3 linked regions of the Arabidopsis thaliana genome follow. The protein of the gene in region 1 interacts with the protein of each later gene in a pairwise test. Each region holds a gene or a part of one and is shown on either strand. Other genes may lie near its edges. The genes, in order: AT1G15610, FAO3 and AT3G03330.

The links.
Region 2: the proteins of AT1G15610 (region 1) and FAO3 interact in a protein complementation assay, tested with the Arabidopsis thaliana proteins (one large-scale study listed by BioGRID).
Region 3: the proteins of AT1G15610 (region 1) and AT3G03330 interact in a protein complementation assay, tested with the Arabidopsis thaliana proteins (one large-scale study listed by BioGRID).

The regions. Positions count from the first base shown.
Region 1 is NC_003070.9:5,367,397-5,373,656, forward strand, and holds AT1G15610 (uncharacterized protein), read left to right. Parts: upstream 1-3,360; 5' UTR 3,361-3,396; coding exon 3,397-3,788; intron 3,789-3,864; coding exon 3,865-3,990; intron 3,991-4,069; coding exon 4,070-4,283; downstream 4,284-6,260. Other genes in the region: AT1G15590 (E3 ubiquitin-protein ligase), read left to right, coding at 1-363, 442-567, 809-836; AT1G15600 (uncharacterized protein), read left to right, coding at 1,527-1,882, 1,956-2,084, 2,188-2,365; AT1G15620 (uncharacterized protein), read left to right, coding at 6,157-6,260.
Region 2 is NC_003074.8:8,378,266-8,386,940, reverse strand, and holds FAO3 (fatty alcohol oxidase 3), read right to left. Parts: upstream 4,270-8,675; 5' UTR 4,082-4,269; coding exon 3,872-4,081; intron 3,611-3,871; exon of another isoform or gene 3,531-3,610; coding exon of another isoform or gene 3,525-3,530; coding exon 3,252-3,524; intron 2,675-3,251; coding exon 917-2,674; 3' UTR 760-916; downstream 1-759. Other genes in the region: AT3G23420 (F-box and associated interaction domains-containing protein), read left to right, coding at 1-159, 311-595, 639-668. UniProt on the Arabidopsis thaliana protein: Long-chain fatty alcohol oxidase involved in the omega-oxidation pathway of lipid degradation.
Region 3 is NC_003074.8:780,990-789,161, reverse strand, and holds AT3G03330 (NAD(P)-binding Rossmann-fold superfamily protein), read left to right. Parts: upstream 1-2,957; 5' UTR 2,958-3,013; coding exon 3,014-3,089; intron 3,090-3,165; coding exon 3,166-3,221; intron 3,222-3,324; coding exon 3,325-3,358; intron 3,359-3,446; coding exon 3,447-3,545; intron 3,546-3,643; coding exon 3,644-3,792; intron 3,793-3,897; coding exon 3,898-3,936; intron 3,937-4,102; coding exon 4,103-4,195; intron 4,196-4,511; coding exon 4,512-4,610; intron 4,611-4,825; coding exon 4,826-4,927; intron 4,928-5,115; coding exon 5,116-5,199; intron 5,200-5,278; coding exon 5,279-5,344; intron 5,345-5,500; coding exon 5,501-5,590; 3' UTR 5,591-5,830; downstream 5,831-8,172. Other genes in the region: UNE6 (LUC7 related protein), read right to left, coding at 1-20, 322-380, 659-721, 804-865, 1,154-1,301, 1,397-1,476, 1,594-1,657, 1,748-1,916 and 2 more; AT3G03320 (RNA-binding ASCH domain protein), read right to left, coding at 5,873-5,935, 6,028-6,146, 6,241-6,328, 6,415-6,469, 6,602-6,650, 6,737-6,797, 6,902-7,029, 7,119-7,290; LCAT3 (lecithin:cholesterol acyltransferase 3), read left to right, coding at 7,674-7,893, 8,048-8,139.

The sequences.
Region 1 (6,260 bases):
TAATGATGATCACATAATCGACATTACAAACGATGAAGATTCTTCATCAAGATCGTCTTTGGACGAGAGAAGCTATCCTTCATTAAGTTCGTCTCTGTCTACGGATGACGAATCGTCAGATGAAGGTGCAAGTTCATCTACGAGAGACTGTGGTAGTCTTTGGAATATAATGGAATTAGTAGTCACTTTGGTTCAGATTGTTGCATCATTAATAGTTTTAACTCTGGCAAAAGATGAACATCAACAAGCACTTTTGTTAACATGGGTCATCGGTTACACTTGTGGCTGTATTACCATTACGCTCCTTATTCTCCTCTCGTGTGTCCGCAAATACAACCGAATTGGTGTTTACTCAAAAACGAGGTATAATAAACAACACTTGTTTCACTTAACATTAAGAGTTTAATTAGCTAAATCAAACCGAACCGTTGTTGGTGGCAGAACGGATAGGGTAATGGATGCTTTGAAGATGGGGAATGAATGTTTCTTTGTTGTGTGGTTAGTTATGGGGATTCTATGGATTTGTTATGGACACTCATCTTCTTCTGATACTCCTAAGCTCTACAGGTTTGACTCACAATCATGTCACAGTAGAGATTTAGTTAAACCCTAACTAATCAGTACTAACTTTTGTCTTCTTGATTATGTTTTGGCAGGTTATGTGTAGTCTTCATTGCTTTCAGTTGCATTAGATTTGCATATGCATTACTATTATGCGCAGGTATTTTTTTCGCTTAATGTTCACTAGAGTTTGGAACATTTTTTTCTCATATCTATGATGTGGATAAGTTGAAATCAAATGATGTAGATTCTGTAAGGGAAGGTATAGGAGGTAGATTTGTTTTCAAGAAACCGAGCCATGATGATGTGAGTAATAATTTCATATCACATTAATTACTCTGTTTTAAATAGCATTTTTTTGTTGTTGTTGTTGTTTAATTTTCATGGTTTGATGGTGTGTGCAGAGTTGTTGCATATGCTTGGGGAAATATGGAGAGGAAAAAGGAGTAGGACTAAGGAAACTTGAATGCTCACACGTATTTCATTCGCAATGTATAGACAAATGGCTGAAAATCAAATCCACATGCCCTCTCTGTCAATCACAAGTTAGGTGGTGATGAGATGAGGTTGATTTTTTTTTTATTTTTTTTTCGCTCAAGAGTAATTGTACACATTCAATAAACAAAAGTGGTGGGAAACTGAAAGATACGATCCTGTCTTCTTGTGTTGTCTGTCTTAAAACAGAAAATAAATATCATACAGATCATTTGACCTATTAACAATTTAACTTGTCCAAAACATCTGCAATATATATAAACATTGAAATCTCAGCTTTGATCTTCATTTTTCAAAATAATGTTTTATTTGTAACACGACTAATACGTACTTAGTATTGATCTGGTCTAAAAAAATACTAATAATTTTATCAACAAAGAAGGAAAGGTATATGCTTTGTGCTCGTCAACGCAAATTTGAATGAACTTTTCATTTGATCGGCAAGAAATAGGAAAAACCAAAAGTGATCAATGGAGGGCCCTTTGTTGAGCGAGTGTGAACACATCATTGACATTACAAGCGATGGTAGTTCTTCATCAATTGATGGTCAGCAACCACACGAGGGTGTTGAATTGGGTGATCCATACACAAATGAAAGCATTTGTAATTCAATCGAGTTTGTTGTGACTTTGGTCTTGATTGCTGCGGTCATAATCGTTCTGATTGAGCCAAGAGATGAAGAACATCCACAAACAATGTTGTCTATATGGATCATCGGTTATACATGTGGCTGTATTGCCACTCTCCCTATCCTATGTTGGCGTTTTTGGCTTTATAACCGAAGCGTTGGCTCCGAATCTACAGATGAATACTTAAGAGAGACAAGGTATATATAAATTGTGTTTTCTTTTATCTTTTTATGCATTAGATTGAGATATAATGGTTTTATTGGTTTGCAGAATCAACAAGGATATGGACTTTTTTATGACGGGTTTCTTCGTGGGTTGGTATGTGGTGTTTTTATGGATTCTTTCTTCCAAAGCATTCGACTCATCAGCTCTAGATGATACTACAACTCAATACTTCTGGTGCGTATCAAACGAAATTTCCAATCATATGTATACCTTAAAACGTATATATTGACCTTTCTTATACTCATGCCTTTGGCCTTCTTCATTGTCTCTTTTGCAGGTTATGTTTGGCTCTCCTTACTTTCAGTTGCATTAGATATGTTCTTTTTAATCTAACATTGGCAATGGTCTGTTATACTACTCCTTTGCTTTTACTTACGCCTGTGGTCATATGTGTTCTCCTTGCTGTGGAAGTCTTAAAAGGCATTGTAGCATGCATTGTATCATGCATCTGCTGAAATCGAACTAATAAAAATATTTTGTTTGTAAGCCTAGGAGAATGGGCGTTTAAAATCAAAGTAAAGCAGAGTACCAGAATAAAAATGTTTTGTGTTCATGTTGATGATTTTAATCTTATTAAGGTAGAGAAAAACAGTAGCTAAGGTTTTTTGAAATGATCAAATATGATCATCTCGTCTTATTTCCTCTTTTTATTTTATTTTTCTCCCTCGTTAATATTATTCTCCATTAAATGACAGTTTTGACTGACCATTCTTATTCGTGCGTTTTCGCTATTCAGATATGTATTTTAAGGGCCCGTACTTTAATGGGCTTTTTAAAATCTGACTTATTTCGAGTCGAGTCCTACCTCATTGTGACATTTACCCAAATAATCACGTGTTTCAGAATAACCTTTTATAGGCCTTATTATTTTGACAGATTTGGGTAAATCGAAATGGATATATAGATAACTTTAACACCAAAGATAAGATAACTAAGAAAAATAATAAAATATTATAGTTTCCCAAATAATAAAATTTAACACCAAAGATTTCTCCTTTTACAAAAAAGACATATTACTTCTTCTAGCTTCCCAAATAATACATCAAGCACCAAAGAATTAGGAAGACTATAATTTAGAACCAAATATTTTGAAATTTTACTCTAACGGGCTACAATTGACTAATAATTGGTCTTGGTGTAGGTAAAACAAAAACACACAAAACAAATGTAGCTCCGAAAGTCTACTCATTGTAAAGGACTTTATGTGATTGACTTAGAATTGGTATTGGTGTCGATTAGGTCTTAAGATAATAATATAGCTGGAAATGTCTATTATTCGTATTTAGAGAAGAATGACTAACTTTTTTTTTGTTCGTTAGAAGTTTACAATTGACTTATAGAATAGATCTTGACGTAGATTGGGTCTTAGAATAATAATTTAGCACCAAAGAATCGGAGAGGGCTTTATGTAATTTGTATTTCAACGCTTGTTTAGATGAACTATTAATTCGATTGGACAAAATAGAAGAAAGCAAAAAAGTGATCAATGGAGGGCCCTTTGTTAACCAAGAGTGAGCACAACGTCGAAGACGTTACAATCCATGGCGATTCTTCCTCAAATGATGAGCACATCATCGACATTACAATCAATGGCGGTTCGTCATCAGCTGATCATGAGCAAACTCCACATGAGGCATTTCAATGGAGTTGTCCATTTACAAGTGGAAGTTTCTGGATTTTGGTCGAGTTAGCTGTGACTTTGGTCCAGATTGTTGCAGCCATATTTTTTCTGATTCTAACAAAAGATGAACGAGATCCAGAACTAGATGTAGCTTTGTTTACATGGATCATCTTTTATACTTGTGCCTCTATTGCCACTTTGCCTTTTGTATGTTGCCGTTTATGGCAGTATATCCAAAACGCTAGCTCAGAGACAAGGTATAAACTGTGTTTCTTTTTCTTTTTCAGGCATTAGAGACTGATATCCTCAACAATGGTTTTTATTGATTTGCAGCAACGAGGTGATGGAGTACCGTTTGGAAAATTTTCTTGAATCTTTCTTCGTGTCCTTGATTGTGGTGTCTTTATGGCATATTCTAACCGAGTCATCATCACGTCAAGATACTAGTCGACACTTCTGGTGCGCATCTAACTAAATTTACAATTATGGCTAAACAACATAATTTACCTCTCTAGAACTAACAAATGTCCTTTTCCAGGTTATGGCTGGGTCTACTTGCTTTCAGTTGCATTCGATATGTGCTTCCTAATTTCCAATTTACCGTACAGTTATTCATGTTGCCTGGGGTGTCCCTTGTTACTGCACTTGTGGCCGCCATAGTAACGATGATTAATTCGTTACTCTCACTCTTTTTGGTCATCATTGGACTCTTTGCGTTAACCTTTTCGTGGATCATTGGAATGTGCGGATAAAAATGATGGATCATGTTGTTTTCTTCAACAATTGTTGTAATACTCTCTTTCTATTTATTAAATAAAGCCAAGTGTCATTAGCATTACCGAATCCTCTATTCCTGAAATGGCCGGCAAAACTGAAACTAAAGGCTTCTCTGTACCAATATCTCTGCAGCAAGATAAACATTTCAGTATCTGCATTTCAACATGTACAACTGGTTTGTCTATTGTAAAAGGCCTCTTTGGCCATCTTGATGAAGCGCTTCATGTTGAGACAGCATGTGGCACGCCCGACAATTCTTTTTAAGAGTGCACCCATAACATATATGTTCTTATGCTATCAAACAACCCACAAGGAACCTGAAGATGATAACTACTTGATAGAGATGATATGACTTCAATCAATCTCGATCGGGTTCGGTTAAGGGCACTAATAGATAACCTGCTATATGGGAGTGTGAAGACCATTAATTGGTTTTTCACATATATATGACTGAAGAAATCAGCCGTAACCAAATATTAGTGTTTTTGCATCAGTTGGGGCCTTGGGGGTCAATTATGGAGTGGAATAATACATGAAAACTTGAATGGTCGCATGCAGAGCAGAGGTAGCCTTTAAATTAAAGCACACATCAAAATGTAGTGCAATGTTGCGAACTTTTATTCAACTAAACAATTTAACACTCGATCTTTGTGCGCCAATACCTCTGCACAACAAACAATTTAATCTCATCAATATGATCCGATTTTGAAGAACCACCTTCTTCTTCAGTGACTTCTCTGGCTACCTTCCATTAACTGTCGCTGTCATAACGACGTGGAAGTTAACTTAATTGACTTTTAAAAGATTAATGATGCTGTATATTGGTCTTAAAATGGCACAAAAGGTTCCGTCTAGGCTTTGTGTTTCACTTTAAGTCTATAACTTAAAAAAAAAAAACTACTAATTTAGCACCAAATAATATCATAACCATTTTATTATAAATGACTATAATTAACGTAGAATTGGAATTGGTCAGTTGGTCTCGAGATAATAATTTAGCTCCAACGAATCGGACATATCTATGCTTTTATGTTTTTTTTTGGGTATAAGAATTTGTTATTAATTCTTATACCAAAATTATAGATATGATATTGTTTTATTTTAAAACAAAATAAATAATATATATATGAATGGTTTGATCTGATATTGGTTACGGTTAGGATACAAATTTTAATCCTGATACCATAGAGGTTTTATTAGTTCAATTTTCTTTCCGTTTGTTTATGCTCAACTTCAGATTCGTTGTCTTGCAATATTAAGATATGGTTCAATTATTGAGATATCATTTCAGTTACGTTCGCATCCGATTTGTTTAAGGTAATTGTAATGTTTTAATGATCACTTTTATTTGAATTCTGAAAATTGAAGTTTTAAAGATATTTTTTAAATAATCGATTTCAACAAAATAGAAAGAATTGTAATACATATTTTTTTTATCATAATATGAATTTTATATTTAATAGAAAGTTTCGATTATGCATTTAATTTCATACAATTGACTTTTCGACTGTTCATTTTTTTTAATTTTATTTTACAACGACTTTTAGACACTTCTTAGCACGAAAGAACTAAACGCAACATGTGCTTTGTAATTAAACGTCGAATGAATATGAATTATATTTGACCTAGGATTACGAATGATGTCGATCTGGAGTAATAATTTAGAACCGAACGACGACTTCGAAATATTACAATTGACTTATAGAATAGATCTCGACGTAGATTGGTCTTAAAATAATAATTAAGCACCAAAGAACTGGAGATGGCTTTATGTGCTCTGTGTTTTAAAGCGGATTAATAAGGACTTTTAATTCGATTGGGGAAAATAGAAGAAAGCAGAAGTGATAAATGGAGGACCCTTTGTTGACTCAGAGTGAGCACATCGTCGATGACGTTACAATCCATGGCGATTCTTCTTCAAATGAAGAGCACATCGTCGACGTTACAACCAA
Region 2 (8,675 bases), on another chromosome or scaffold:
ACAAATAATCCTCAGAGATTAGATGCATATTCGTATGCTCTCGGATACAATAGCAGTACCAAATCCCACAAAATCTTGAGTTTTGGTATGATGTTTGATTATGTCTCCTCCACTTCTGCTGAGTTCAAAATCTACGACTTTAACTCTGACTCATGGAGGGTCAATCTCGAGACTGGAACATAGGTTACTATAACCGTTTTGTGTCTGGTGCCTCTCTCAAAGGAAATACATATTGGCTTGCTGAAGAGGCATATTCAGAAATCCCAAGACAAGGAGACCATAGTTTCTTACTCTGTTTTGATTTCACAAGGGAGACATTTGGGCCGCGGTTTGCCTTCGCCGCCCTTTGAGTGGTATCTTCAAGAGTTCTCTGTTATTATCTAATGTTAGAGATGAGCAGCTTGCGGTGTTATTTCAGCGTATGGATACATTACAGATGGAGATCTGGGTTACAACTAAGATTGAGCCCAACACGGTGTCATGGAGCAGCAAGTTCTTCTTATCAGTGGATATGAGAGAACTCACCGGCCGTTACTCTATGTTTTCGTTTAGTGATGCAAGTTTCTTCATTGATGAGGAGAAGAAAGTTGCAGTGGTTTTTGATAAAGGCAAAAAGAAGTAGTTGATGTGCAATGCAGCTTACATCGTTGGAGAGGATGGATCCTTGAAGAAGTGGATCTTGGAGAATCTCCAAACCAAAATCTCCGACCACTTGTGTGCTCTTATGTTCCAAGTTCACTGCAACTTGATTAGTCCAATATTTTATAACACTCTAATTAGATGAATAAATATAACGTTTCCAAAACATGGATTTTATTAGTAGACATGATCAATAGAAGAGTCTTTAACTATGAATTATCATGTTGGTTACACATAAATTTGATTAGGATGAATAGAAAGTATACGTTATTTTAGTTCAATGAGATAAACCAGTGGTCATGGACTTAGCGATTCTTGTGGAGATACAATAAGCCGTAGACATGACTGTGATCATAGGGTTAACACCAACAGCACTAGGCAACGCACTTGCATCGCACACAAACAACTTCTCTGCTTCCCAACTCTCTCCATTCAAATCTATTGCACCTTCTTTTTCATTTTCTCCAATTCTACAGCTTCCCATCTGATGAGCTGAGCTATAAACGTTCCATTTCTCAGTCATTCCCTTTGCTCCTTCCTCTGTACTCACCGAGTCTAAAAACTCTTGGATCGAATTCTCATTGACACCTTTGCATATTAGTCTCTGCCCGTCGCTTCTGTGAGTTCCCACTTCCTCTGCTCCAGCTGCTATTAGTATCCTTAGCGACTCTCTAAGCCCAGCTTTGAGATTATCTCTGTCGGTTTTGTCCACGGTGTAGTTTATTCTGCCTTCGGTTTTAACTTCTCCTGACCCGCGGTCTCTAACTATGGTTATGAGACTCGCGGTTCTTGAGTATCTAGCCATTCTTTTCTTCATGTCAAGCCCAGAGGTCCAAGGAGTTAAAACGGAGAACGAACCTGGTCCTAGTTGCGGTGTCTCTATGATTGCTCTGACTTCAGAATCTTCTGATAACACTTTGCTCACTGATGTTATGATCCCGCCTTCATATGAATTTCCCTTGAAACTGATGTTAGAAGATTCCTTGTCCGGGAAGTAACCCCACGCCATTAAAACAGGGTGTAAGTGAAGGTTTTTACCGATGTTTCGGTTTCTCAACCCGCTAGATATCATCAACGGAGGTGTTAAAAGAGCACCCCCTGCTGAAACCGTTACTTTAGCTTCAATCTTTAACATCTTTGCTATGTTTCCGTTTAAAGATTTAGCCATCACTCCCAAACATTTCATTTGCTTGCCTCCTTTGTTACTACCGTTCTTTTCGAGTATGAATCTCTCCGCTTTACATCCAGTAAGAATCACGGCACCGTGCCCCACCGCATCGACAAGCCAAGTCCGGTCACTTCCTTTCTTGTCTCCTTGTCTACATCCATACCCGCAAGATCCACAGTAATGACTCTCCGAGGAGTTTCTTGGCACGTTTTCAACATTGAACCCGAGATTTTCGCAACCTTTTCTCAGAATCTGATTCTGAAAACTCTCCAGTTCACATTTCTCCGTGACACCCATCCTCTTCCACACAACTTCCATAGCCGTTAGATATTCTTTAGTACCGAAAAGAGGTATATTTTGATCCTCTGACCATTCTTGAAGAACCGACTTCGGGGTTTTGATACACGCAGACCAGTTCACAGCAGATCCACCACCTACAGTTGCTCCAGCCAACACCATAAAACTCCCATCAACACTCGGGAGAATCCCTCCATTCTCGTAGAGTTTATCCAAGCCAGGACCTTCGAAAGGACGATGTTCAGAAGGCGTAAAGTAGCTTCCTTTTTCAAGAACAACCACTTTTAAACCAGATTTCGCTAGAACAGAAGCTGCTACGCCTCCTCCTGAACCAGACCCGACGACCACAACATCACATTTTATTCTGATCGCATCATGCTCCGTGTCAAGAACCGCTTCTAGGCCTTTATGAGCAAGTGATTCAAGAAGAGTCTGCTCTGTTTCTTCCATCGTCTCCACTATCCCTTTCTCAAGTGGTCTTTCGTTATGAGTTTCAGAAGGTTTGTTCTCATCGGGGTTAACACGATACCCTATGGCTTCCCATGCCGGGTTTTCGCCATTTGGATTCACCTACACAAAAGAAACGACATATCCATAAATTCTTGAACATTTTCTATAAGTAGCTCTGTTTTTACGACAGAGTTAACATATATAATATAGGCTCTGAATCCGGATTTTGGTTTAGTTCACGATTCTCAAAATTTTGGATCGGTTTATTGTAACCAAATCAGAAAATGATCTAGTTAAATCGCTTGGTACTCATTTAAGATCAAAGTTTTTAATAATGGGATCAAATTGTTTATGTATAGTAAAATAGTAAATTTTAGTTATAAACAAATCTCATATGAATACGTTACGTACGGTTTCAGGTTTAAGATTTTCTAATTTTAGTATATATGAATTTGGATGATTTTTTCCTTAGAGATCATCATTAATTTAGAAAACAATAAAACTGATACGTTTTCTAGTTTTTTTTGGCTCTATTTGTAATCAATTTTTGGATTATATAGAAAGTAAATGAATTTAAACCATGCGATTCTGTTTTCGATTATTTGGATTTGTACTAGACTGTTTTATCCGGACAGAACAACATAATCTATGTGGTTGAGATAAGGTTTGGAGAAAACAGAGAGAATTTGAGACATACCCGGGAGAAGAAACAGAAGAGGAATGCAACTTTGATGTAGACAAAAGCAGCTCTAATTGGAGTCAGAATCCAATTCTTGAATTGTTTCTGAAGTACTCTTTCTCTCTTCTCCAACGAGAGCTCACTAAATTTCTCGACAAAAGGCCATCTTGAGACCAAACACTCGGTTCCACAAATGAGAAGCGTCCCAAGCCGAGTAGCAAGCAAGAACAATATAAGCCTAGTAGCAATATAAGCTTCTATTGTCCCTCGTTTCGTGACCAGCTCAATGCTCTGCATCCATTAACAAATCTTTCACTTTTTACTCAAAACCTTAAGGTCTTTTTAATAACCGCAATTAATTTTAGACCGAAACCTAGACTAATAATATTCACGTTAAAAAAACAAAAAGAGCTAGATATTTTTGTCATTTAAAAGGTCTATAGAAGTCAAAAGAGAACCACAAGGATTTTATTGGAACTCGATCAATACGAATCCTTTTAACTAATCGAACAAATCAAAACAAATCTTCAAATATCACACGTTCTTGATTTGTGTTTTTTTGTTTGAAAGTGTCAAAACTTTAGCATTTTGTTAAAAAAACAGATCATTTGATGAATATAAAGAAAAAGTGTGTGAACCTGGCGAAGGACAGGAGTTTTAGACCCAGAAGTTGAGTAAAATGACCGGAGAGCCTCTTTGTTCCGATGGTTATCACCTTCACCGGAAAGCTCTTCCGGCGGTGGCTGCACTGAAGGCAAGACAGCTTCACAAAAGCTAGCTAAAGATTCCATCTCTGCCACCGTGATGTCCGGGAGACCAAATTTTCCGGCGACTTTGTACTTATCCATCACACAGTTTGCTTTGATATGATTAAAAAACAAAACTGGGAAAGTTCTTAAGATTTCGAAGCACAAACTCTGTTAGTATATATATAGACACAACGTTACAGCTGTCGCGTTACATAAAAATAGACATATAAAACAAAATTGCTAAGAGAACCCCAAAACTTGTTTTTAACTCTTTTTGATGATTACGTATTTTTATCTGTCGTTTTAGATAGTAGATGTATGTATTTTTCTAGTTTATACGACAGTTTGTCGTATTACTAATTATGATGATAATTGACAATTTAAATGTATATGAAAAAGTTGGACCAAAATTGATTTTTCTTTTTTGTTGTTGTAAATGGTGCATATCTACCCACGTTGTTGTTTCTTTCAAATTCTACTTATATGCCGAATTTTATTGGTATCATCTGATGTAGATTGAATATATTTCTTACGTACAATTTAAGATGATGGTTATTTTTTAGGGTCCTCATGTTTAGAGTCTCTAAGATAGTGGTTAAAAACACTTAAAATTGCAAAATATAGGGACTAGTATGTAGTTAGCAGAGACTATTATGGGGAAAGTCTTTTTCAGTTTTCTAGATTACAACATGTGAAAACTACAGGCAACGAAAATCGATTAGTAATTAATAATTAAGTAATGATTGAAGAAACATAACAAAGGCACAAAAGAAGAAAATAGTCAGAAAAGTTCTCATAGTTATGGAAAACAATCACGTGTGATACTCTTTCTTTTTTTTTTTTTTTTTTTGTTTGACAACTGCGATGCTCTAAACACCACAATTTGAAACTTGTGATAGCCAACTTGTGAGTTAATGCACAAGCCCCGTAACGTTTTACACAATCTAGCTTTTCTTATTCGATATACGTGTACTTGATATCTTCTCACAAAAATTTGTAAATATTATATGAAGAAATTAATACACATTAATATGTATATACAACATCTGATCGGTTATCACGTATATATCAAAACATATTATATCTTTGGAGAGGTCATGCTTGGACCATTAGACAAAGTCTTATTTGGTTTACGAGTTTTTTAGTTTGTTAATTATAATGTAAAGTATATGAAGTTGTAAAATTTACTCTAAAACAAATCTAGGGACTCGTCAATTAGGTGAAATTCATGGGATCGTCAATTAATATTTACTCAAATTAGTCATAAATGTTGCTTAGCTGCAACGAAATTGATTACAAACTTTTTTGCAGTGATTTTTTAGGTGCTTCACTGGTTAGCAACCATGTGCTAGTGATCATCCATAAAAATTATCTCATTTACTCATCCAGTATTTCATGAATTCTCAAAAATACTAATTATTGATTGTTGACCAAAAAAAACCCATATATTGATTACAAACCAAACGATCCCAGGCCGTTTTGAATTTGCTAGAAAAATAAATACATATATACACTATATGCTTAAAATTTCAATGGACAATGCGTTGCCTCATTTAAGATTCGAAGAAACTAGCATTATCAAGGAAAATGTTGAGTGACTTCCAGATAATTTGTTAAATTTAGTTGACATCGATTAGACAAAGAATCGATAAATTACGTATTGATTCAAATTTCATATTATAGACATCCACAAAAAAATAATATAATTAGTCTGGCCCTACTTTTGATTTTGCAACAAATTTGTGGGAATCAGTGGAGCCAATCAGTTGCCTCCACGTCATCGTTTGCACGCCATGTTAGCCAAAATGTGGTCATGCATCCCATCTAACAAGTCAGGTGTAATCGAAGCATCCGAGATCTCGTCAGACAAAAAAAACTCTAAAACGATAACTAGTTTTTAGTGTAATCTAAGTTAAAGTATGATTATTTACTAATATATATTCTGATCCCAAAGGTTTGGTTAGAAAATTTCCTCAGCATGGGTTATCGGTACATATATAATTGCTTGGTGATAATGATATGTTTCAGCTTAACCAAATAAAAAATGCAAAATAATAAATAAATTTTACCGTGGTGGATGAGCTAATTAGAGTGTACGAGGTACATATATAGTGCGTTGTTTTGCAAAAATAATAATATTAAAAAGTTCACAAAATATTTTTTAGTCATAAGTTACTTTTTCACACTTATTTATAACTTAGAAATAAAAAATCACTTCTCTGAACACTTATTTATAACTTCTCTGAACACATGTTATGTTCAAATGTTAAGACTATTTTCCGTTAGGTGATATCGTAATTTTATGACTACAATATTTCAAGTTATATGGACCATAGCATTCCATTTCTATGATTGAGGTACACTTTGTGATTATTATTTATCGACCAAATATTTTCAATGGCTCCAAAGCTTAATTATATATTAGTTGTAGACAAAAACAAATCTCTAAAACACTGTCAAAATGACGTGTTTGCGTAAAATCCATAAAACATTTTCAAGCTAGCCGAGGCATCAGCAACAAAATCTTCTTAAAACCTTCATGGCTTGTAAAATATTCAATCGGGTACAGTGGGTTGTTTAGTTGAATTATTATGTGTCACTGTGTAAGTATAGCTTCTAAAAATAAAATGTCATTATAGCTTATTGTTTAAAAGTCAAAAAAAATGTTGTTGGACGCAATTAAAGATGTCACAAGTTGTCATTAATTAATTAAGCGATAATGTAAAGTAAAATAGCGATAACAGGTTATATACGGCATTTTCAAGATAACCCCACTTTGTAGACCTTTTCCGTTCATGTTACTTTCTGCCCAGTTAAAATCTTGTGTTAAAAAGTCATAATACCATATTTCCTTTAGTTAAGTAAACTATACGCGGATACTAAAAACTACCGATATTTTATGCGTAAGTTATCTTTATTATCATGTTTTTGTTATATAAACAATTTTGCTACAAAAAGTTCATTTCGCCTTTATTAGATTCACGAGAGACGGCATTTCTTTCGTTTTTTTTATGCTTTTGATGGAGAATTTCAATGATGGCTATAATTATATATCGTTGAAGATTTCTTATACACTTGTCTCCATAAATCTGCAAATCTGATAATAAATTGTAGTATCTGAGACTCGAACCAAAGACCTCTTTATGTATAATCATTAATGAATTTTTGGTTAACCAATAAAGTGATAAACTAGGGGTTTTCAATATCTTTATTATCATATTTATTATTAAATTACTATATAACTTCATGTAATCGTGGGACACTGCAACAAATACTAAATAATTAGAAAAATTAACAACCAACATCTAGTTAGAATATTTAATTTGCACCAATGTCTTCGAGTATAGTGAAAAAAATAGAAGATCGAATATCGAATAGTACGTATAGAATCATCTAGATCCATTCGAACTAACGTCTACTTTTCTTTTCCAGCATTAACATGTAGCTTGTCATTAGCATTTACATGTTGCAAATAACACAAATTGGGAAATTGAAAGACTAAAAAACCTTGTACAGCAGATGGTTTAACACGTGGATTCATGGACACAAACAGAAAACGGCAGAACTAAGCACAAAAACGTCAACTAAGCATATCAAAGCTTTTAATGCAAGCCTAATATAAACACAAGTGGTTATCCATAATCTGTTCTTAATCTCTTGCAGTAGTTATCTTTTCATTATTCGCAATTCGCAATTCTATATTCTTATATTTCAACTTGTTCTTCTTCCAAATTGTAATTATATCTACATCGTCTTAGCTTGACCATTATAGCTCCAGTACCAAGTTCTCTTCTTAACTTTAATATCAGCTACTATTCTCATACTGTAAATATCTTTTGTTCACCAAACATATATTTCGAACCAAACTGCTAAAAGCTTATCATAAATTGCAGTTCTAGCCACACAATTTTGCAGTTCCAACCATTAAATGCCACAAAATTTGGACGATTTCTTAAGACAAGAAGAACATAGCAACCAAACCTTATTGATTAAATATGAAATGTCTCCATAAAACTGGGAGATTTCCCCAAATAAAGAGAACACGGCAAATGTTCACGTAATCTCCAAGATGAATGTTTAATTTTTTCTTTCAGAAAAAAACAAAAAAACTTAACTCAATATAGACAACTAGAATGGATACCAACTAAGCAAAAGAAATTCAAAAGACAAATATATATTGGATATGAAGTTACATTATTTTCAAACTTTATATACTACTAAAAGCCTAAAAATTTGTTCTAAAATGATATCCAAATAAATGGAAGGCATGAATGTCATATGACTAAAAGAGAAAAACACACCTGTATATAAGTATTGGATCATGCTGCCTCCGAGTGACAAAACATACGATGTGGGTCTTTATTGGGCCATACTTAAATGGAAAAAGGAGAAAAAAAATTGGGCAATGTCTATGGTCGAAATTTATATGTTTTACATCAATAAAATCAATATTTAATTTTATATATGTGGGTCTTAATCTAGTATTATCTACATAGATTAAAATCAAAGTACTGCATATGGTCCATAATAATACAACCAAAGCAAATTAAAATTTTGTGGCACAAAACGACATCATTTTACTCAGAAAGTAATATGCAATTTCGTTTACGCACACACGTATACGCGCTAATAACCCGTGGTGCTTCTCAAATCACATAATAATTAAAGTCTTCTTCTTCTTCTTCTTCTCTAC
Region 3 (8,172 bases), on another chromosome or scaffold:
GATCAGCTAAACGGCGATCACTGTAGCATCACAAAAGTTCCAATTAGCATAGCCAAATGCTAAACATTTGACGATAGCATATTAAAACAGTATAACGTTAAAAACTCCATTAGTTAATCTCTACTAGTAAGATCCTTCAAGCACAATAAAATCAAGAAAAGAACGCACATTTATTATAGCTGCAAAAGTAATCCTGCCCAAAAAGCCTGCTGGTGAAAGGAGGAGGTACAATAGCCGGAGTCAAAAGACTATTTCTACCTTTTTTCTCTTTCAATCCAAAAGGGAAACAATAATGCAGAAAGTTTGAGCAAGGAACTTAACCTGTCATAGACGCTCAAGAATGCTCCACATATGTCACATAGACGCAACTTTTGGTCTGTCTGAGAAGATATAGGAACAATAAGTGAGGTTAGAAGATGAAACCAATGTGTAGATACATTAAACAGGGGATGCGAAGATGTTATACTTTTGGTCCAAATAGTAACTTTTATGAAAGCAATCAAACGGGTTTACTCAAATAAACTATTACTCTTTACCTAAACGTTAATATATGACTGTTGTCATTCCTATATTCAACGGTACTTTCCAAAACAAACTGATAAATATAGAAGGAATGTGAATCTTTAAGGCATCATTGGGAGGAGTGATGGTAACTTACGATGCGCACATCAACAGCGGTGTACTTCGTTGAATCTGCTGGAGGTTCTCGTCTAACTGTAAGCTGAAACAAATTTAGGCCCAACAATTATTAGTGACTAATAAAAGTAGGGGGAAAAGAAAAAGAAATAAGAAAGAGAACACACCTTCTTAAGAGCTTCAGCCTCTTCCAGGGCTTTCTGGGCTTCATCAACCATTCCTTGTTCACCTAAAATATCAAATAACCATACAATCTATATAAAACTTCGTGAAGTCCAGTGTTTCCTTAACATAGATATAGTAACATACAACGGGAAGAAATTTCCTTATCTTAGGTATATACAGTTTAAGCAATTTATAGGTTAGGAAATCTTAGATTAGCCAGTAGAAATTCCCAGCCGGCAGGGAATACTAGACCGTGGATATTTAAGCAGTTTCAACTTTCCACTACAATGAGCTCTAAATTAAGATGACCATAGACAAATAACCAAACACAAATTAGGGTTATTTCCCTTACCAAGATCTTCTGCCTTCTTCAGTTTCTCATTTATCATTTCTTGAGTGCGAGGATCCGGTGGAGGTAATTCGGAAGATGGTGGTTGAGCTGGAACGGGCTGTGGCAAGGATGCTCTATCTTTGTTGAAGGCTTCCAACAGCAACACCGCCTACATGAAAAAACAAGACAAAGGACTTTCTAGTTGACATAGGTAAAGTAAAAAAGCAAAAATGCTCATTAAGCCAATAGCGAAAGCAAATTCACCTGTTGGTCAGCTCTCTTGGTCCTCATCTCTTCGACTAACTCAAGAGCTCTAATCTTAAGATCCATTTTGCCTTCAAGATCTGCAAAGTGACATCAGAACTTTGAAAGACTACCAATAACCAGTCAAGAATTATTTGCAAAAACAAAGCCGAAACAGCAAAGTAATATTTGCTGGGCAATATTCTTTTAATTTTTACCGTGGATATCTGCTTCCTTCATCTTCTCTTTGATTTTCTCCGATAACTCGAGAATTTCAGGCGACTGCAGTTAAACAATGTAATGATGATAAACAAACCTGAGTGTTGCAAACTTAGAAGACACATAAACCAAATTTCAAAATCAAATAATCACCTGAGTGACTTCAGAGACAGAAATGGCAATGGCAGCTTTGGCGTCCTCTTCTTGAAGACGCTTAAGGGCCCTACCAATCTTCCTATCACACTCAACGATAAGCCTGTCTATGGCATCTTCCAATTCCCTGTCGTAGTTATCAACACCTTTTGCCCTTGCTTCTCGGTATCTAAGGGCGAGTTAAAGCAACACAGGAGTGGAAAGAGAACAACATGCCACTGTAGAATCAAACTAAACATAACAATGACACCAACTTTTTTTTGTAACTAATCTGCATAGGCTAGTCTTATATGCACTATCCATTCATTTAACGTATTATCTCAAGCAAAAACCAGGAAGAAGAGCAAAAACATGAGCAAAAAACAGATATCAACCCAATTAGTAAGTATGTTCAAATGTCAAATTCAATTGAAAGAGGCCATGGAAGTAGGCGGCCTTCATGGTAACCGTATAAGGTAAATACTAAACTTACTGTAAACAAAGGATACTCTTTCCGAAGCTGCAAAGAGTGCACCTTTGGGCATGGTCCCATATCCATTTTCTGATAACAACAGAAATGTAAAAGGAGCATCAGTTATTAGGCAAACCAAAGTAGCCATGCACTAAATTACTAGACAGATACTCATAGAAAACAGTGAAGCGATACAAGTTTCAGAATTCAGATATACTCTATAAGATACAAAACTGCACACTGTATCAAGTAACCAAATACCAGTTATCAATTCGAGCTAAAGCAGAAACACAAAAGATTAGCTCAAAAGTGAAATTAGGGTTTTTTTATTCAAAGAGACAACTAAGTAATAAACTGAAAAAATATAAAGGTAAGCACCGTCAATTGGAAGAGATCGTGAGGGCAGAGACCAGACAAGTAAAGACGACACACATCACGGTCGTAGTATTTGCGATTCACCTCCTGAACGTCGCCGTTTCGGTTAGCTCCCATGAGCACATCAAGCTGCTTCCTTATAGCGTCCATAGTCGTTCTCTCTCTCTCTCTCTCTCTCTCTCTCTCTCTCTCTCTCTCTCTCTCTCTCTCTTTCCTCGTCCTCTCTGCAAACAGAGATTTGGGGTTTTTTGATCGAAAGACAACACAATGATAGGAACAATGGCATTCGGATGTAATAAGATTTTGGTATATAAGATTAATTGCATACAGGTCCCTATATATTAATAATTTATGTTCTACTCCTACATTTATTTCTGTCAACATATTTTGCCCACGGGTAAGAAGACTTGGTCTCTCGCTGGTTGCTTCAATCCGAGAAAATGCTGACTCTACTCTTCTTCTCTCTCGGAGCGCTTCTTCTTATCGTTCTGCTCTTCAAATTTGCATTCGCCGATGGTAATAACTCTGACGATTTCTAATGCAATGTTTAACTTCTTTTATGTATAAAAGGATTGATCTTTGCTTTGTGTAGGAGATTTTACCTTGATTTCGAAGAAGCATGTGAAGCGTGAGGCCATACAAGGCAAGGTACTGGATTGATAGAGGAAAAAATGGAATTTAGTGGGATTGATTTGAGTTTTCGATTATTTCAATCTCTGAGCATTAATTCAGATTTCTTGGTTTTGCTCAGGTCGTCTGGATCACAGGGGCTAGCCGTGGAATTGGTAACGAATGTTTTCTTAGGATTATATATCTGTGAAGAGATAACTTTTATTGTGGCTGCTTACTCTTCATGTTTATGATTGGATTCAGGTGAAATTCTTGCTAAACAGTTTGCAAGTTTAGATGCCAAGCTTATTCTCTCTGCTAGGAATAAAGCTGAACTGGATCGGGTTAAGAGTGAGCTTAAAGGTACTTTCTTACACAATGAATCAAAGAAAGCTCTCCAGTTTACAATTGTGAGCTTTTTGTTGACACGTGATGTAACTGACTCTGTATTCTTCTTCTAGGTAAATTTGCACCAGAAGATGTCAAGGTTTTGCCTTTAGATTTAGCTAGCGGCGAAGAGTCACTCAAACATGTTGTAGAGCAAGCAGTGTCGCTTTTCCCTGGAGCTGGTGTTGATTATTTGGTTCACAATGCTGCCTTTGAGCGTCCGGTAAGTAATTTCCTTGCTAAAGTTTTGTATCTACTCAATAGAGAGTCTTAGGCTTTAGATATGTTTACTCAAGCGGGTGTCATCATCATACTCTTTTCCTTGCAGAAATCCAAGGCATCGGATGCAAGTGAGGAAACTCTCAAGGTACTAAAATTAATTGCGTAAAATTCGTAGGCAAGATTATTAATTCTTGAGGAAACTCTCAAGGTATTTTTTGTTTCTATTGCCATAGTTAGCCTGTAACAATTAGGACATGGGTGATTTTGATATTTCTTTCTGACATATGGTTAATCTATGATTTTGTGTGCAGACTACATTCGATGTTAATGTCTTTGGGACGATATCTCTGACAAAGTTGGTAGCTCCTCATATGCTAAAACAAGGAGGGGGTCATTTTGTTGTGGTACGTGGAGACTACTGGGGGATAGTTTTTGTTAATTTTGTGGAATTATATTTAAGGATTGAGCTTCATATCATAGTTTATATATGTGGATAACATTGCGTTTTATATGTTAGTTAATTGTTGTAATCACAGTATTGAATCTTGACTATATATGTTAAATCTGAGGATACTAGGGTATATAGACAATTTAAGGTTTCGTTCAGGTTAGTATTTACCATAGCTTGAATGTTATGGAACTCAGGCTATGATCATGCACTAATTGTCCATTTTATTGGGTTAAATGTCATGAGTAATAATTCACGTCAATTATGCTCAGATAAGCAGTGCTGCAGGAAAGGTACCATCACCTGGACAGGCTATATATTCTGCTTCAAAACATGCTCTTCATGGCTACTTCCACAGCTTGCGTTCTGAGGTATGTTAGAAGTAAAGAAACTGTTGTGCTTGCTAATTAGTTGGCAGAAATTGACTTATTGAAATCACAAGTGAAAATTTACAGCTACTCCTGAGTTTTAATAAGCTTCATATGTTGATTCGCTATGTTTTTTCATTTACATTTTATTGTTGAAAATAGCACAATCAATTACAAAAACTAACAGTTAGTTTACAATCATCTGTGCATGGTTTCAGTTCTGTCAGAAGGGAATCAAGGTTACCGTCGTTTGTCCTGGTCCAATAGAAACCTGGAATGGTACAGGAACATCAACTTCGGAAGACAGCAAGTCTCCTGAGGTTGGTACTTATTATGATTGTGATTATTTGATTAAGTTGTGAGCAGCAAGTACTTCTCCCATTGCTTGATTCATTATTTCCTTGTAGATACACGTAGAATCATATTCTTTGTCAACATTTGGAGATTCTAACTTCAGCTCCTTGCTCAACTTGATTTCTCTCAAGCATCTATTCTCTTTGCTACGCAGAAACGTGTGTCATCTGAACGATGTGCAGAGCTGACTATAATCGCTGCATCTCATAACTTGAAGGAAGCTTGGATTTCATATCAGGTACATCTTTATAAATATTGCATATGTGATACTCGGTTTAGATGTCTGATATATAAGTTTCTTTTTCACTGTTTTTCAGCCAGTACTACTCGTGATGTATCTAGTGCAGTACATGCCTTCCCTTGGCTTCTGGCTCATGGACAAGGTACTTTGCTCATCCATTAATTTTCTTCAAAAGTTACCGGTATGAGATGTCGTTTTGTTTCCATTATAATGTGACAAACACATCTGACAAAGAGAAAACAGGGGCAGTTATTACTCTGTTGAAAGCAGTCTTTTGATTAAAATGAACGGCTTGCAGGTTGGAGGAAAGCGTGTGGAGGTCGCGGAAAAGAAAGGCAACACATACTCGTGGGATTTACTGTTCGGGAAGAAGACTAAAACAAACTGAAGCTGATTCTCTAGAAGATACACATAGATGTGGTTGGTTGAGCCTTAGTCCGTAAATGTGGTTGGTGTTTGTTTGCTAGTTTGATTGTTAAATAACTACCAAAGCGTCGAAAAATGTTTTGTTGCCTTGTGAGGTGCTCAATAAGTAAGAAAAGATGTGATCTTCTGTGATTTAGCTACTCGTACACACAAACAAACACAAATTTAACATCATCCGAGTGTAGAGAAATCAAAACCCTTCAAATTGAGTAGTTTCTCTGCGCACAAAGGTTTTCAGATGCAGCTACGAGGTAACCCCAGCTGTGTATTCATCCAACAGGCTTTTGATCCCACTGGACTTCAGTTCCTACAAAAGAAGAACCGAAAAGAAAGCTATATGATGCATACATTGAAGACTAACGAAAGCTTCTGGAGTTTGACTTGCTGCCAGAAACTCACAGACAATACTCCTGCCAAAGCTGCAGAAGGCTGATTAGCTGGTTTTGCAACACGAATAGCTACAACACCGTTCATTCTTTCCTTCTCTTCAGAATAAAAGTTTCGGTAAACTTGAACACCTGCAGATAGAACATCATTTCAGGTTAGAACAAAGTCCACATAGCAAAAGAGACGCTTTCCAAACGTTCTATGTTATGGTAAAGATCTTCAAACCTTCTTCTATACTTTCAACTCCAGGAAGAACTTTGGCAAGACCCTCCACTTTCAGCATTTCTGAGAATGAAGTATAACGGTGAACGTCCTGCCCTCATCAAAATGGTTAGTAACAAGAGGTATAGTGTTTGCCTCACAAGGAAGAATTGACAGAGATACAAGATTGATGACTACCTGAACTTCAAGCAGCAAGCATTTATTGAACAAAAGAAAATCTCCTGAACTAATTCTGTGAGTAAACCAATTTTGAAGTCAATAAGACAATCTAAAGCTATTGGAATCAGCAAAACAGAAAACCCGGAAAAGCAAGCACAAGAGATGAATGTGAATTAACATTTGCACAAAGATAAAAACATCAGACCTCATGTAGTCTCCCACTGCGCATCTTCCTTCAACAGTTTTCAAACCATCTGACAAATTGAGAGGCACCCGGAAATAAAAGTGAGATTGAGCAAATATAATTGTAATACTACAATCAAGTAACCAGAAAATGTACCTTTCAATTGGGTGAAGTAAGGCTCTTGGACATGAAGCTCAAAGTTCACCTCCTTCAACATCTGAAACAAAGAACCTTTTCTGTGTAAAAATTCCAAAAACTAACTTTTCCCACTCTGTTTTGATGCAATAATAGTTGAGAACTAAAGTTTTCATATAGACTTACATTTATTAAGTCATATCCCAAGCCATGAATCAGTTTGCTGTATTTTTCCAAGTTAGAATTTTTATCACCCTCGGAAGCTAGACATTCAGACAAAGCCGTTGCTAGAAGCTTGTACACCGCAGATTTTTCTGTTAATTGAAACATTTATGAGAAAATTTCAGTTATTTCTCTCCAGCATTCAAGTTTCATAATTTGCTTCCTAATTAGCAAAACGTACCTGTTGAATCTGTAGCTTCCCCAAGGAGATGAAGACAAAAATCTCTGGTCAGGTCAAGATCGAAACTTGGAACAGATTCGTTTAAATGAGATCTCAGACTAAAACGGAGAAGTGATTCCATGCATTCTCGGAGATCCACCGACTTCGTTCCCGGCGACATTGGTTGCTCCATTTTCGTCAAAAACGCCAACGTTAAGCCTCTTAATTAAGAAATATTCGTGTAAAACACCCTCAAGTTTGTAGATATTACAAGATGTTCTAACCCAATCTGAAATTGGACAGTAACACCTTGATGTCGTTTTAAAACGGAAGATCAGAGATCAGACGTTGTCGTTTGAAGACGGAAGATCAGAGCGATAAGTCAGGTATCTAGAAGGTGACACGTGAGGAGCACGTGAAGCTTGCGTGTAGACAGTCACAGTCACAGATGGCATATTCTCAGAAATCCTCATTGTTGACTAATGTACCTCTGATAAGTCCCACTTACCATTTTCTCCTGAACTCTGTAGAAAGATCCGAATTGAATATTTCGGACCCGAAACCTGACCCGCTTTGATGGGCTGGATTCCGTGTCCGTGCTGGGGAACCAACGACGATGAAAACGCCGGCGAGGTGGCGGATCGTGATCCGGTGCTTCTAGTATCTGGAATTGGAGGCTCTATTCTGCATTCTAAGAAGAAGAATTCAAAGTCTGAAATTCGGGTTTGGGTCCGAATATTTCTAGCTAACCTTGCCTTTAAGCAGAGCCTCTGGTCTCTCTATAATCCCAAAACTGGTAAATTTTGAACCTTTCTTGATATTTATAGAAATGTTTATTTGAGCTTGATAATAGAGAGGATTTCGGAATTTAGATTACTGTTGAAGTCATGGACTTTTAGAAAAGTGAGTTATGAAGCAGATCTTGAACTTGAATGTTATTTTGTTGGCAGGTTATACAGAGCCGTTGGATGATAATATTGAAGTATTGGTCCCTGATGATGACCATGGACTCTATGCAATTGACATTCTAGATCCCTCTTGGGTATAGTAAAGTAGCTAGATATTACTTTGTGCA